3 linked regions of the Saccharomyces cerevisiae S288C genome follow. Each later gene encodes a partner of the first gene's protein in a complex. Each region holds a gene or a part of one and is shown in the gene's direction. Other genes may lie near its edges. The genes, in order: SIR4, SIR2 and ESC1.

Region 1 (4,351 bases):
CCCGTTCACGAAGCCAGCCAGTGGATCGTAAATACTAGCAATAAGTCTTGACCTAAAAAATATATAAATAAGACTCCTAATCAGCTTGTAGATTTTCTGGTCTTGTTGAACCATCATCTATTTACTTCCAATCTGTACTTCTCTTCTTGATACTACATCATCATACGGATTTGGTTATTTCTCAGTGAATAAACAACTTCAAAACAAACAAATTTCATACATATAAAATATAAAATGTCCGGTGGTAAAGGTGGTAAAGCTGGTTCAGCTGCTAAAGCTTCTCAATCTAGATCTGCTAAGGCTGGTTTGACATTCCCAGTCGGTAGAGTGCACAGATTGCTAAGAAGAGGTAACTACGCCCAAAGAATTGGTTCTGGTGCTCCAGTCTACTTGACTGCTGTCTTGGAATATTTGGCCGCTGAAATTTTAGAATTAGCTGGTAATGCTGCTAGGGATAACAAGAAGACCAGAATTATTCCAAGACATTTGCAATTGGCTATCAGAAATGATGACGAATTGAACAAGCTATTGGGTAACGTTACCATTGCCCAAGGTGGTGTTTTGCCAAACATCCATCAAAACTTGTTGCCAAAGAAGTCTGCCAAGGCTACCAAGGCTTCTCAAGAATTATAAGATCGGTTCTGGTATTTTAAAGAAGGCGGAAGGAACTAAACTGCTTCTCCATTGTAACTATATTAAGTGTCTATTAGACCTTTCTGTTTTTCCTTTTTATTTTTCTATATATAATTTATTGGGTATATAATTAACGGTAACATATGTCATGCATGATATAAATTTTTTGTTGTGTCTTCCTGTTTTCTCTGTTGCTCTGTTTAGGTTCATTGGGCACTGTTGCTTACTTGAACATGATTGAGTAGCAAACACATTCTGTGCTTTGTTCACTTTGATAGTGTGACGAAATTTTCACAACCAAAGGAAAAAAGCTCACGATTGCGCGATCCTGTCACGGAGAACTGTCCGCAGCAGCCCGCGGCTTCTGTCCTTATTCGCCCATTTTTTTTTGATTTTCGACTTTTTCACTCTGGCTAGTTTTATTACGCATATTTGTATATATATATACGCATAAATTTCTGAAATGGATTACCTGGTTTATCAGAAACGAGAGCTTTAATAAAGAAACATTAACGTTTCTCTGGTAAAGTCACCACACAGCATCAAATATAACAGTAATGTCTAGCTCAGAATCCATTAGAATGGTCCTAATTGGCCCACCTGGTGCCGGTAAAGGTACTCAAGCTCCAAATTTGCAAGAGCGTTTCCATGCCGCTCACTTGGCCACTGGTGACATGTTGAGATCTCAAATCGCAAAGGGCACTCAATTAGGTTTGGAAGCAAAGAAAATTATGGACCAAGGTGGTTTAGTCTCTGATGACATTATGGTTAACATGATCAAGGATGAATTGACCAACAATCCAGCTTGTAAGAATGGGTTCATCTTGGACGGTTTCCCAAGAACCATTCCTCAGGCTGAAAAATTGGACCAAATGTTGAAAGAACAAGGAACTCCTTTGGAAAAAGCCATCGAATTGAAGGTTGATGATGAATTGTTGGTTGCCAGAATTACCGGTAGATTAATTCACCCAGCCTCTGGCAGATCCTACCACAAGATCTTTAACCCACCAAAGGAAGACATGAAGGATGACGTCACCGGTGAAGCTTTAGTTCAAAGATCTGATGACAATGCAGACGCCTTGAAGAAGAGATTAGCTGCTTACCATGCTCAAACCGAACCAATTGTTGACTTTTACAAAAAGACCGGTATCTGGGCTGGTGTTGATGCTTCCCAACCTCCTGCTACTGTTTGGGCTGACATCTTGAACAAGCTAGGTAAGGATTAATGACCTTGCGCAATGTCTTCTAAATATCTTTTCTTTTTTTTAAATTAATGAAAATATAATAAATTTTTGTATGTGAGTACATATATCCGCAGTATACTATAAATGAAATAATAACATAAGTGTTTGTAACTGGCTATAACGTCCTTAAACATGTGCACTGCCATTAAGTACTTAGTCAATATTTTTATCGTTGAGAACGAACGCAAATCATATTACTAAATAGATGAACAAAAGCGCATCACATAAACAAAAACGGTATAACAGTAATAGTGAAGCTTTTTATAAACCTATAACGAAATAAGCGCTTTTCAGGTTTTATAATTCAGTCAGAGTTCTAACTGGACATCGTTTTGCAGGGGATAAAAAAAAAAAGGAAGCTTCAACCCACAATACCAAAAAAGCGAAGAAAACAGCCAATGCCAAATGACAATAAGACACCCAATAGGTCCAGCACTCCCAAGTTTACTAAAAAACCAGTAACCCCGAATGATAAAATTCCTGAAAGAGAAGAAAAATCCAATGAAGTGAAGACACCTAAAATTCCATTATTCACGTTTGCCAAAAGCAAAAACTATTCAAGGCCGTCAACCGCAATTCATACCTCACCTCATCAACCAAGTGATGTAAAACCGACTTCCCATAAACAGTTGCAACAGCCAAAATCCTCACCACTGAAAAAAAATAACTATAATTCTTTTCCTCACTCAAATCTGGAAAAAATAAGCAACAGCAAACTACTCTCCCTTCTTCGGTCCAAAACGTCAGCAGGAAGAATTGAATCAAACAATCCTTCACATGATGCTAGCAGGTCTCTAGCAAGTTTTGAACAAACAGCATTTTCCCGGCATGCGCAGCAACAAACTTCTACCTTCAATTCAAAGCCTGTACGTACCATAGTACCGATATCAACATCACAAACCAATAACTCATTTTTATCAGGAGTAAAAAGCTTACTAAGTGAAGAGAAAATAAGGGATTACTCTAAAGAGATTCTAGGCATAAACTTGGCAAACGAACAGCCTGTTTTAGAGAAGCCACTTAAAAAAGGATCAGCAGACATCGGCGCCTCTGTGATTTCTTTGACCAAGGACAAATCTATCAGGAAAGATACCGTAGAAGAAAAAAAAGAAGAAAAGTTGAATATAGGTAAAAACTTTGCCCATTCTGATTCACTATCAGTTCCGAAGGTTAGTGCCGGTGACAGTGGTATATCACCGGAGGAGAGCAAGGCAAGAAGTCCTGGAATTGCAAAACCGAATGCCATACAAACAGAAGTGTATGGAATAAATGAGGAATCTACTAACGAGCGTTTAGAAATAAATCAAGAAAAACCAGTAAAATTAGATGAGAATAGTGCAAATAGTACGGTCGCATCGGCCTTAGATACCAATGGGACGTCAGCCACGACAGAAACTCTAACATCAAAGAAGATCGTTCCATCTCCAAAAAAAGTCGCCATTGATCAAGATAAAATAACACTGCACGATGAGAAAACACTTGCACCTTCGAAGCATCAGCCTATAACATCTGAACAAAAAATGAAGGAAGACGCCGACCTCAAGAGGATGGAAATCTTAAAGTCACCTCATTTGTCGAAAAGTCCAGCTGACAGACCTCAAGGGCGTAGAAACAGCCGAAATTTTTCCACTAGAGATGAAGAAACTACAAAACTTGCTTTTCTTGTTGAATATGAAGGCCAAGAAAACAACTATAACTCTACTTCTCGAAGCACAGAAAAGAAAAATGATATGAACACTTCTGCAAAGAATAAAAATGGTGAAAACAAGAAAATTGGTAAGAGGCCGCCTGAAATCATGAGCACTGAAGCTCACGTAAACAAAGTAACCGAAGAAACCACAAAGCAGATACAGAGTGTACGAATAGATGGTCGAAAAGTGCTTCAAAAAGTACAAGGAGAATCCCACATTGATTCGAGAAACAATACCCTGAATGTTACACCATCAAAGAGGCCCCAGCTAGGAGAAATACCGAATCCTATGAAAAAGCATAAGCCTAATGAAGGGCGAACTCCAAATATCTCAAACGGTACAATAAACATCCAAAAGAAATTAGAGCCTAAGGAAATTGTGCGAGATATTTTGCATACGAAAGAATCATCAAATGAGGCTAAGAAAACTATTCAAAACCCTTTAAATAAATCACAAAACACTGCTCTTCCTTCCACACATAAAGTTACACAAAAAAAAGATATAAAAATTGGAACTAATGACCTTTTTCAGGTTGAATCTGCTCCAAAAATATCCTCAGAGATTGACCGGGAGAATGTTAAATCAAAGGATGAACCGGTTTCCAAGGCTGTTGAAAGCAAATCTTTATTAAATTTGTTTTCAAACGTACTCAAGGCTCCTTTCATTAAAAGTGAAAGCAAACCTTTTTCTAGTGATGCTCTGTCAAAAGAAAAAGCCAATTTTTTGGAAACTATCGCTTCCACTGAAAAGCCAGAAAATAAGACTGATAAGGTGTCTCTATCT
Region 2 (4,351 bases), 540 kb from region 1:
TCATTGGCTGTGGCACAAGATGTGAACGGTGAGAGGCAACAAGCTATTAACACTTTATCTCAGTTTGAAAAACTCGCTGAGGGAAAAATATCTGATTCCGAGAAATATGAACACAGCGAGTGTTTAATGTACAAAAACGACATTATGTATAAAGCTGCCAGTGATAACCAAGACAAGTTACAAAATGTATTGAAACATTTGAATGATATCGAGCCATGCGTCTTTGATAAATTTGGTTTATTAGAGAGAAAAGCAACTATTTACATGAAATTGGGTCAATTGAAAGACGCGTCCATTGTTTATAGAACTCTGATCAAGAGAAATCCAGATAATTTTAAGTACTACAAATTACTGGAAGTATCCTTGGGAATCCAAGGTGACAATAAATTGAAGAAGGCTTTGTATGGAAAACTTGAACAATTTTATCCAAGATGCGAACCACCCAAATTTATTCCATTAACTTTCCTTCAAGACAAAGAAGAGCTCAGCAAAAAATTGAGAGAATATGTTTTGCCTCAATTGGAGCGCGGTGTTCCAGCAACTTTTTCCAACGTGAAACCCCTTTACCAAAGAAGGAAGTCCAAGGTTTCACCACTATTGGAGAAAATTGTCCTTGATTATTTGTCCGGATTAGATCCTACGCAGGATCCAATTCCTTTTATTTGGACCAATTATTACTTGTCTCAACATTTCCTTTTCCTTAAGGATTTTCCGAAAGCCCAAGAATATATTGATGCTGCCCTTGACCACACCCCAACTTTAGTTGAGTTTTACATCCTCAAGGCACGTATCCTGAAGCACTTAGGCCTAATGGACACAGCGGCTGGAATTTTGGAGGAAGGTAGGCAACTTGATTTGCAGGATAGATTTATCAACTGTAAAACGGTTAAGTACTTTTTAAGGGCTAACAATATCGACAAGGCGGTGGAAGTCGCGTCCCTTTTCACCAAAAACGATGATTCTGTTAATGGTATTAAGGACTTACACCTTGTGGAAGCTTCTTGGTTCATCGTAGAACAGGCAGAAGCCTATTATAGACTATACCTGGATAGAAAAAAGAAATTAGACGATTTAGCATCGCTAAAAAAAGAGGTTGAAAGTGATAAAAGCGAACAAATTGCGAATGATATCAAAGAAAACCAATGGCTTGTTCGCAAATATAAAGGTTTGGCGCTGAAAAGATTCAACGCTATTCCAAAGTTTTATAAACAATTCGAAGATGACCAGTTGGATTTCCATTCATACTGTATGAGAAAAGGTACGCCAAGAGCCTATCTGGAGATGTTAGAATGGGGAAAGGCACTTTATACCAAACCCATGTATGTTCGCGCAATGAAGGAAGCATCAAAGCTTTACTTTCAAATGCATGATGATCGCTTAAAAAGAAAGTCCGATTCTTTAGATGAAAATTCAGATGAAATCCAAAATAATGGCCAAAATAGTAGCAGCCAAAAGAAAAAAGCTAAGAAGGAAGCAGCCGCTATGAACAAACGGAAAGAAACTGAAGCCAAGAGTGTTGCTGCTTATCCGAGTGATCAAGATAACGATGTATTCGGCGAAAAGTTGATTGAAACCTCCACTCCAATGGAGGACTTCGCTACCGAATTTTATAATAACTACTCCATGCAAGTCAGAGAAGACGAAAGGGATTATATTTTGGACTTTGAATTTAACTACAGAATTGGAAAGTTAGCTTTGTGCTTTGCTTCTCTAAACAAATTCGCTAAGAGATTTGGCACCACGAGCGGTTTATTTGGTAGTATGGCCATTGTTTTGTTACATGCCACAAGAAACGACACCCCCTTTGATCCAATTTTGAAGAAAGTAGTCACGAAGAGCCTTGAAAAAGAGTATTCTGAAAATTTCCCATTAAACGAAATATCTAACAATAGCTTCGATTGGCTGAATTTCTACCAAGAAAAATTCGGTAAGAATGATATAAATGGCCTGCTATTTCTGTATCGCTATCGCGATGATGTTCCGATCGGAAGCTCTAATTTGAAAGAAATGATTATTAGCAGTCTTTCTCCCTTGGAGCCTCACTCCCAGAACGAAATTCTACAGTATTACTTGTAGCCTGCAACTCCTCAATGTGTCAATTAACTCTTACTTAATTTATGTATATATTTTTTATGTATATGCTTATATGCATGCGCATATGCTCATAAAAGATACATTGTTATAGGTCATTTCTTTTCCAAGCTACATCTAGCACTCCTTCCAACCATGGTCCAGGACAGCCAGGACCTTTTCTTGCCAAAATTCTTGCTTTCCCATCTCAGAGAAAAAACGAGGAATTTTTCTTTGTCCTCTTTGGCCGCCAGTTGCGGTAAAATATTTTTTTTCTAGGTCGCATAGTTTGAAAGACTTGTCTTTTTCACCACCCAAGAAAAATATATTTAGTGAAGAGATGTAAAGCCCATTCTCACGTATTTCAAGAAATTAGGCATCGCTTCGGTAGACACATTCAAACCATTTTTCCCTCATCGGCACATTAAAGCTGGATGACCATCCCACATATGAAATACGCCGTATCAAAGACTAGCGAAAATAAGGTTTCAAATACAGTAAGCCCCACACAAGATAAAGACGCGATCAGAAAACAACCCGATGACATTATAAATAATGATGAACCTTCACATAAGAAGATAAAAGTAGCACAGCCGGATTCCTTGAGGGAAACCAACACAACAGATCCACTTGGGCACACTAAAGCTGCGCTCGGAGAAGTGGCATCGATGGAGCTCAAACCAACTAATGACATGGATCCCTTGGCAGTGTCAGCAGCTTCAGTAGTGTCAATGTCCAATGACGTTTTGAAACCAGAGACGCCCAAGGGGCCAATCATAATCAGTAAAAACCCATCAAATGGTATTTTCTATGGTCCCTCCTTCACTAAACGAGAGTCTCTCAATGCTCGAATGTTTCTGAAATACTATGGTGCACACAAATTTTTAGACACTTACCTCCCCGAGGATTTGAACTCGTTATACATTTACTATCTTATCAAGTTGCTAGGCTTTGAAGTTAAAGATCAAGCGCTTATCGGCACCATCAACAGTATTGTCCATATCAACTCGCAAGAGCGTGTTCAAGATTTGGGAAGTGCAATATCTGTCACAAATGTTGAAGACCCATTGGCAAAAAAGCAAACAGTTCGTCTAATCAAAGATTTGCAAAGAGCAATTAACAAAGTTCTATGTACAAGATTAAGATTATCCAATTTTTTCACTATTGATCATTTTATTCAAAAATTACATACCGCTAGAAAAATTTTGGTCCTGACTGGTGCAGGTGTTTCAACTTCATTAGGGATCCCGGACTTCAGATCTTCTGAGGGGTTCTATTCAAAGATCAAACATTTGGGGCTCGATGATCCCCAAGACGTTTTCAATTACAATATATTTATGCACGACCCCTCTGTTTTCTATAATATTGCCAATATGGTTTTACCTCCAGAAAAAATTTATTCTCCATTGCATAGTTTCATTAAGATGCTACAAATGAAAGGGAAATTATTGAGAAATTATACTCAAAACATTGATAATTTGGAATCTTATGCGGGAATAAGCACAGATAAACTGGTGCAGTGCCATGGCTCTTTTGCTACTGCCACCTGCGTTACCTGCCATTGGAACCTACCCGGTGAGAGGATATTTAATAAAATTAGAAACCTCGAACTTCCACTATGCCCGTACTGTTACAAAAAAAGAAGAGAATATTTCCCAGAGGGATATAATAATAAAGTAGGTGTTGCTGCATCACAGGGTTCAATGTCGGAAAGGCCTCCATATATCCTTAACTCATATGGCGTTCTCAAACCAGATATCACATTCTTTGGCGAAGCACTGCCAAATAAATTTCATAAGAGCATTCGCGAAGATATCTTAGAATGTGATTTGTTGATTTGCATTGGGACAAGTTTAAAAGTAGCGCCAGTGTCTGAAATCGTAAACATGGTTCCTTCCCACGTTCCCCAAGTCCTGATTAATCGTGATCCCGTCAAGCACGCAGAATTTGATTTATCTCTTTTGGGGTACTGTGATGACATTGCAGCTATGGTAGCCCAAAAATGTGGCTGGACGATTCCGCATAAGAAATGGAACGATTTGAAGAACAAGAACTTTAAATGCCAAGAGAAGGATAAGGGCGTGTATGTCGTTACATCAGATGAACATCCCAAAACCCTCTAAGTAGAAGGCAATTTAATAATTTAAAAGTGCCAAATTAATATCAATTTACATAGTATGGCAAACAATTTTGTTTTCCTTTCAATTATTGTAGTCAAATATTATTTACATTCTGCTATTTTCATTGTACCGGGTGAAATATTACATGTACCGCCCATCTC
Region 3 (4,351 bases), on another chromosome or scaffold:
GGCTCAAGGAATCAATGAAAACTTGCAATATTTTCAAACCAATGCTATTCCAGTTCGTTTGAGTATAATATTCGTAACAGGAAAGGAAAAGCGAGACTGCCTCCTCATATTTCTTTCCCTGATAGTAAAGCAAACCTATCTCAATGGATAAAATATCTACTATCCTTTGACGCTTCCCTTCACATTTGTTGAAGAGAGAAAGAATTTCTTTGGTGAGAGTAAGGAAGTTTTCTTGGAAGACAGTTTCATCGACAAAAGTTTCTTTTAATAGATCAAATTTGTATTTAACGTCACTATTAGGGTAGTTTTTGTCCATTAGTCTATAACCACTTGTAGCCATAACACCTTGCACCCAGTTGTCGCGCTTCAACATTAATAACTCAGCTTTGATTTCACACAAGAGAGGATTTGAGACATTCTCAAATTCAAAATATGACAGCATCGAAGTTATAAAATAGTGCTTAAATTCCAATAATCTCACAGACTTTCTATACTCTATTGATATGGATTCAATAAAATTCTTGATTAGTTGAAATGCTCCTACAAAGGCGGTCAACGTCTGGTCCTCTAGTTTTAGAAGTCTTAACCTTCTAATGAAAAAATACTTATGCAATTGAAACTTATCGAGTGTACCTTCTATTATTATGGAGCCCAGTGATTCATCTGATTTAGAAGATGATTCAAAAGGTACCTGAAGTTTTCCATCCGGCATATTCATGTTTCTACGGAGTATTTCTTTTTTGATTTTTTGCAATTCCAGGCTGGCATCTTCCAAAATATTGAATACCACATATAACTCGTACAATTTTTCTCTTGTCAAAAGCTGTTCCTCAAAGTTATTTCCTTTTTGTAAATTGGCCAACGAATGTTGCAAATGTGTCAATCGTTTTTGAAAGATGCTCAGTACGGAAGCCTTAATCTTTTGGCTAAATTGGTTCCAAAACTCCTGCCTTTCTTTGGGAGATCTATAAACCGATCGAACTTCCAAAGTTTGTACATGCGGAAAGTCTTTGCCAAATTTCTCCATTAGGGATACCGATTTGAATAGGTTAGAGTCCACTACTTCAGAATTGGCATACAGTAAAATAATTGGTTTATAAATCATTTTTTCTCCTGTCGATGAAGATACAGATTCCAGATTTGGTAGCCACTGTCTCACAAGAGGCCGTACTTTGGCCCTGTATTGGTCGATAGAGATACAGTTCACTATCAAAAATCTGATAAACGGCTGTTCATCATTAGACTTGTCTGCCTCCCCTCTACCTTCTGGAATCAATTCAATTGGAAGCCTGTTAACCGTTCGTACAGTTCCGTCAAATGCCTTCCAATGTATATTGTCTAACGGTAAAATCTGCTGAAACTCTGGCCTCAGACTCTCAAATAAATCAAACGGGTCAAAATAGCTGACAGGAACCGATCCACAATATATTTCTTTATCCATCTACTATATTAGCATGTAAAAGCAAGTTCACTGGCTATTTTTATTGCTTTTATGCTCACTTTCTTTCAAAACTTCTAACTTGCACTTTTCACCATTTTCATGTTCCGCGAGCTGTTCTTAAGAAGTGAAAACAAAGGAATTTAAAATGCGAGAAAGTCTTTAGTCCTATTGACAAGTATATTGAACACGTTGTAAATTCACCAAGGGGTTAAGTACAAGAACCAATAAATCTATACTGTGAAAATATGTCAAAAAAAAAAGAAACCTTTACTCCAAGGGCAAATAAACTTAAACTGACGACCCCAAGAAGAAAACTGAAAATACTGTCATCTCTCCTTGACGCGGACGAGGATTCCAAAATGAAAGATCAACATGGGTACTCAAGGGTCCACAATGATAAATACAGAGTAGCAAAGCCTACTCAGCACTCGACTTTACATGAATCTATTTCCTCCAGGCGAAGCAGTCATATTCATAATAAATCCCTTCATGAAGATAGTGCGAGGGCATTAAGCTGGGTAGATTCTCTAATTAATAGGGGGAAAAGTATACTTACTACACTAGAAAAGGAAGATGCCTTGTTTGAGCGTAGTCTTGAGGAGGAAAGACAACGTTTTCAGCTTCATGACTCTTTAATGAACAAGTACACAGGAAACAGTAAATCTCATCAGCGACTAATCGATCTCAGGAAGAGCCAATACGGAACGGATACTTCTTTCCAAAATAATGATGAAATTCCCTTAGATAGTTTCATAAGTTCTCCCTTACCGGACGCTGAGGACGAGTCGTCCTCAAATATCGACTCCGATAAGGATGAAGATCTGGAAGGTAAACAATCTTTAATCAAAGATTTCGATCTTGAAAATGATGAATACGAGCTCTCTGAAGAAGAAAAGAATAGTGACGGCCAAAGTAGTCCTTCAATAATGATATTATCAGATGAAGAATATGCAGAGGAAGGAGCACTACAAGATGTATCGAATGATGAATATGCCGAAGAGGAGGGGCAAGTTGAGAGAAAGAATATAGGGCAAGAACAGGCAAATGTAGAGAATGCTACACAAATTAGTTCTTCTGATTCCAGTGAAGGACAGAATTATTCAGAGGGAGTAGAAATGGAATTAGAAGACGACATTGATGTGGAAAGCGATGCTGAAAAAGATGAAAGTCAGGGTGCAGAAGGAACAGAACATTCGGTAGATTTTTCAAAATACATGCAGCCTAGAACAGATAATACTAAGATCCCCGTTATCGAAAAATATGAATCTGATGAGCACAAAGTCCATCAAAGATATTCAGAAGACGGTGCATTTGATTTCGGTTCAGTAAATATTTCAGTTGACGATGAGTCCGAGGATGAAGAAAGTCAAGCTGAAAGTTACTCAGCAAATGCTGAAAATGTGTACCACCATAATGAACATGAACTGGATGATAAGGAACTAATAGAAGATATAGAATCTTCAGATAGTGAATCCCAAAGTGCACAAGAAAGCGAACAAGGAAGTGAAGATGATTTTGAATATAAAATGAAAAACGAAAAAAGCACGTCAGAAGAAACTGAGAATACCAGCGAAAGCAGAGACCAAGGTTTCGCTAAAGATGCTTATACTAAGAACAAAGTGGAACAACAGGAAAATGACGAAGAACCTGAAAAAGATGACATTATCAGAAGCTCTCTAGACAAAAATTTTCACGGAAACAACAACAAAAGTGAATACTCGGAAAATGTTTTGGAGAATGAAACTGATCCTGCTATAGTAGAAAGAGAAAATCAAATTAACGATGTTGAAGGTTATGACGTAACAGGAAAAAGTGTCGAAAGTGATTTGCACGAGCATTCCCCTGATAATTTGTATGATCTCGCCGCAAGGGCTATGCTTCAATTCCAACAAAGTAGAAATTCGAACTGCCCTCAAAAAGAGGAGCAGGTATCCGAATCTTATTTAGGGCACTCAAATGGAAGCAACTTATCGGGCAGGTCTTTAGACGAATCCGAAGAGCAAATACCCCTAAAGGACTTCACAGGTGAAAACAATAATAATTTAAAAACAGACCGAGGTGATCTTTCATCTTCTGTTGAAATAGAGGTTGAAAAAGTTTCTGAAAAGAAACTGGACGGTTCTACAGAAAAAGAACTGGTACCACTATCCACAGATACTACGATTAACAATTCATCATTAGGAAATGAAGACAGTATCTATTATTCACTCGATGACGCTGATGCTATATCAGAGAATCTTACCGATGTTCCTCTTATGGAAATCAAAACAACTCCGAAATATGAAGTAGTAATTTCTGAATCTGTGTATAGTTCTACTTCTTACGAAGATAACACAGTTGCCATGCCACCGCAAGTGGAGTACACTTCACCATTTATGAATGACCCATTCAATTCGTTGAACGATGATTACGAAAAGAAGCATGACCTACTGAAATCAACGTTAGCAGCCCTTGCCCCAGCTTTCACCAAAAAGGATGCAGAATTTGTGGAAGCTGGAGTGACGAAATCATGCTTGACATCTACATCTGGGCACACAAACATTTTTCACACAAGTAAGGAAACTAAACAGGTGAGCGATTTGGATGAATCTACGGAAAACGTTACTTTTGAAAATGAAAATACAGGTGATGAAAATAAAAATCAAAGTAAAAATTTTCCAGGCGTGGCTAACAGTACTGACAAGTCAACTGAAGATAACACGGATGAAAAGTACTTTTCAGCGATTAATTATACCAACGTTACAGGAGACTCTTCCTGCGAGGACATAATTGAAACGGCTTCAAATGTAGAAGAAAATTTAAGATACTGTGAAAAGGATATGAACGAAGCTGAGATGTCTTCTGGCGATGAATGCGTAAAACAGAATGATGATGGTAGTAAAACTCAAATTTCGTTTTCAACAGATTCGC

What was found.
Region 2: the proteins of SIR4 (region 1) and SIR2 are in contact, whole or in part, in a crystal structure (PDB 4IAO), measured with the Saccharomyces cerevisiae proteins. Residues at the interface, in NP_010513.1 of Saccharomyces cerevisiae: Gly745, Lys746, Met747, Glu748, Leu749, Val750, Tyr751, Asp810, Leu813, Thr814, Ile817, Leu818, Ile821, Ala822, Lys824, Thr825, Tyr827, Asp828, Lys829, Ile832, Thr833, Leu835, Ile836, Glu837, Gln838, Gly839, Ile840, Pro841, His843, Tyr845; in NP_010242.1 of Saccharomyces cerevisiae: Met100 (codon at 2,802), Asn102 (codon at 2,808), Leu105 (codon at 2,817), Lys132 (codon at 2,898), Ser135 (codon at 2,907), Leu136 (codon at 2,910), Arg139 (codon at 2,919), Lys143 (codon at 2,931), Tyr144 (codon at 2,934), Tyr145 (codon at 2,937), Gly146 (codon at 2,940), Ala147 (codon at 2,943), His148 (codon at 2,946), Leu151 (codon at 2,955), Asp152 (codon at 2,958), Pro156 (codon at 2,970), Glu157 (codon at 2,973), Leu159 (codon at 2,979), Asn160 (codon at 2,982), Ser161 (codon at 2,985), Ile164 (codon at 2,994), Ile168 (codon at 3,006), Gly172 (codon at 3,018), Phe173 (codon at 3,021), Glu174 (codon at 3,024), Val175 (codon at 3,027), Lys176 (codon at 3,030), Asp210 (codon at 3,132), Leu212 (codon at 3,138), Ala213 (codon at 3,141).
Region 3: the proteins of SIR4 (region 1) and ESC1 are in contact, whole or in part, in a crystal structure (PDB 6QSZ), measured with the Saccharomyces cerevisiae proteins. Residues at the interface, in NP_010513.1 of Saccharomyces cerevisiae: Ser970, Lys971, Trp974, Glu977, Trp978, Asn981, Arg1066, Trp1068, Lys1072, Phe1076, Asn1079; in NP_013946.1 of Saccharomyces cerevisiae: Thr1446, Asp1447, Leu1448, Pro1449, Ser1450, Asp1451, Pro1452, Pro1453.

What each region holds. Positions count from the first base shown.
Region 1 is NC_001136.10:915,296-919,646, forward strand, and holds the start of SIR4 (chromatin-silencing protein SIR4), read left to right. Parts: upstream 1-2,275; coding exon 2,276-4,351. Other genes in the region: HTA1 (histone H2A), read left to right, coding at 235-633; adenylate kinase ADK1, read left to right, coding at 1,191-1,859. UniProt on the Saccharomyces cerevisiae protein: The proteins SIR1 through SIR4 are required for transcriptional repression of the silent mating type loci, HML and HMR. The proteins SIR2 through SIR4 repress mulitple loci by modulating chromatin structure.
Region 2 is NC_001136.10:376,599-380,949, reverse strand, and holds SIR2 (NAD-dependent histone deacetylase SIR2), read left to right. Parts: upstream 1-2,504; coding exon 2,505-4,193; downstream 4,194-4,351. Other genes in the region: peptide alpha-N-acetyltransferase complex A subunit NAT1, read left to right, coding at 1-2,076. UniProt on the Saccharomyces cerevisiae protein: NAD-dependent deacetylase, which participates in a wide range of cellular events including chromosome silencing, chromosome segregation, DNA recombination and the determination of life span.
Region 3 is NC_001145.3:705,447-709,797, forward strand, and holds the start of ESC1 (Esc1p), read left to right. Parts: upstream 1-1,686; coding exon 1,687-4,351. Other genes in the region: transport protein particle complex II subunit TRS130, read right to left, coding at 1-1,441. UniProt on the Saccharomyces cerevisiae protein: Involved in the clustering of telomeres at the nuclear periphery, forming discrete subcompartments that accumulate a complex of histone-binding silencing factors like SIR4. Required for SIR4-mediated anchoring and partitioning of plasmids.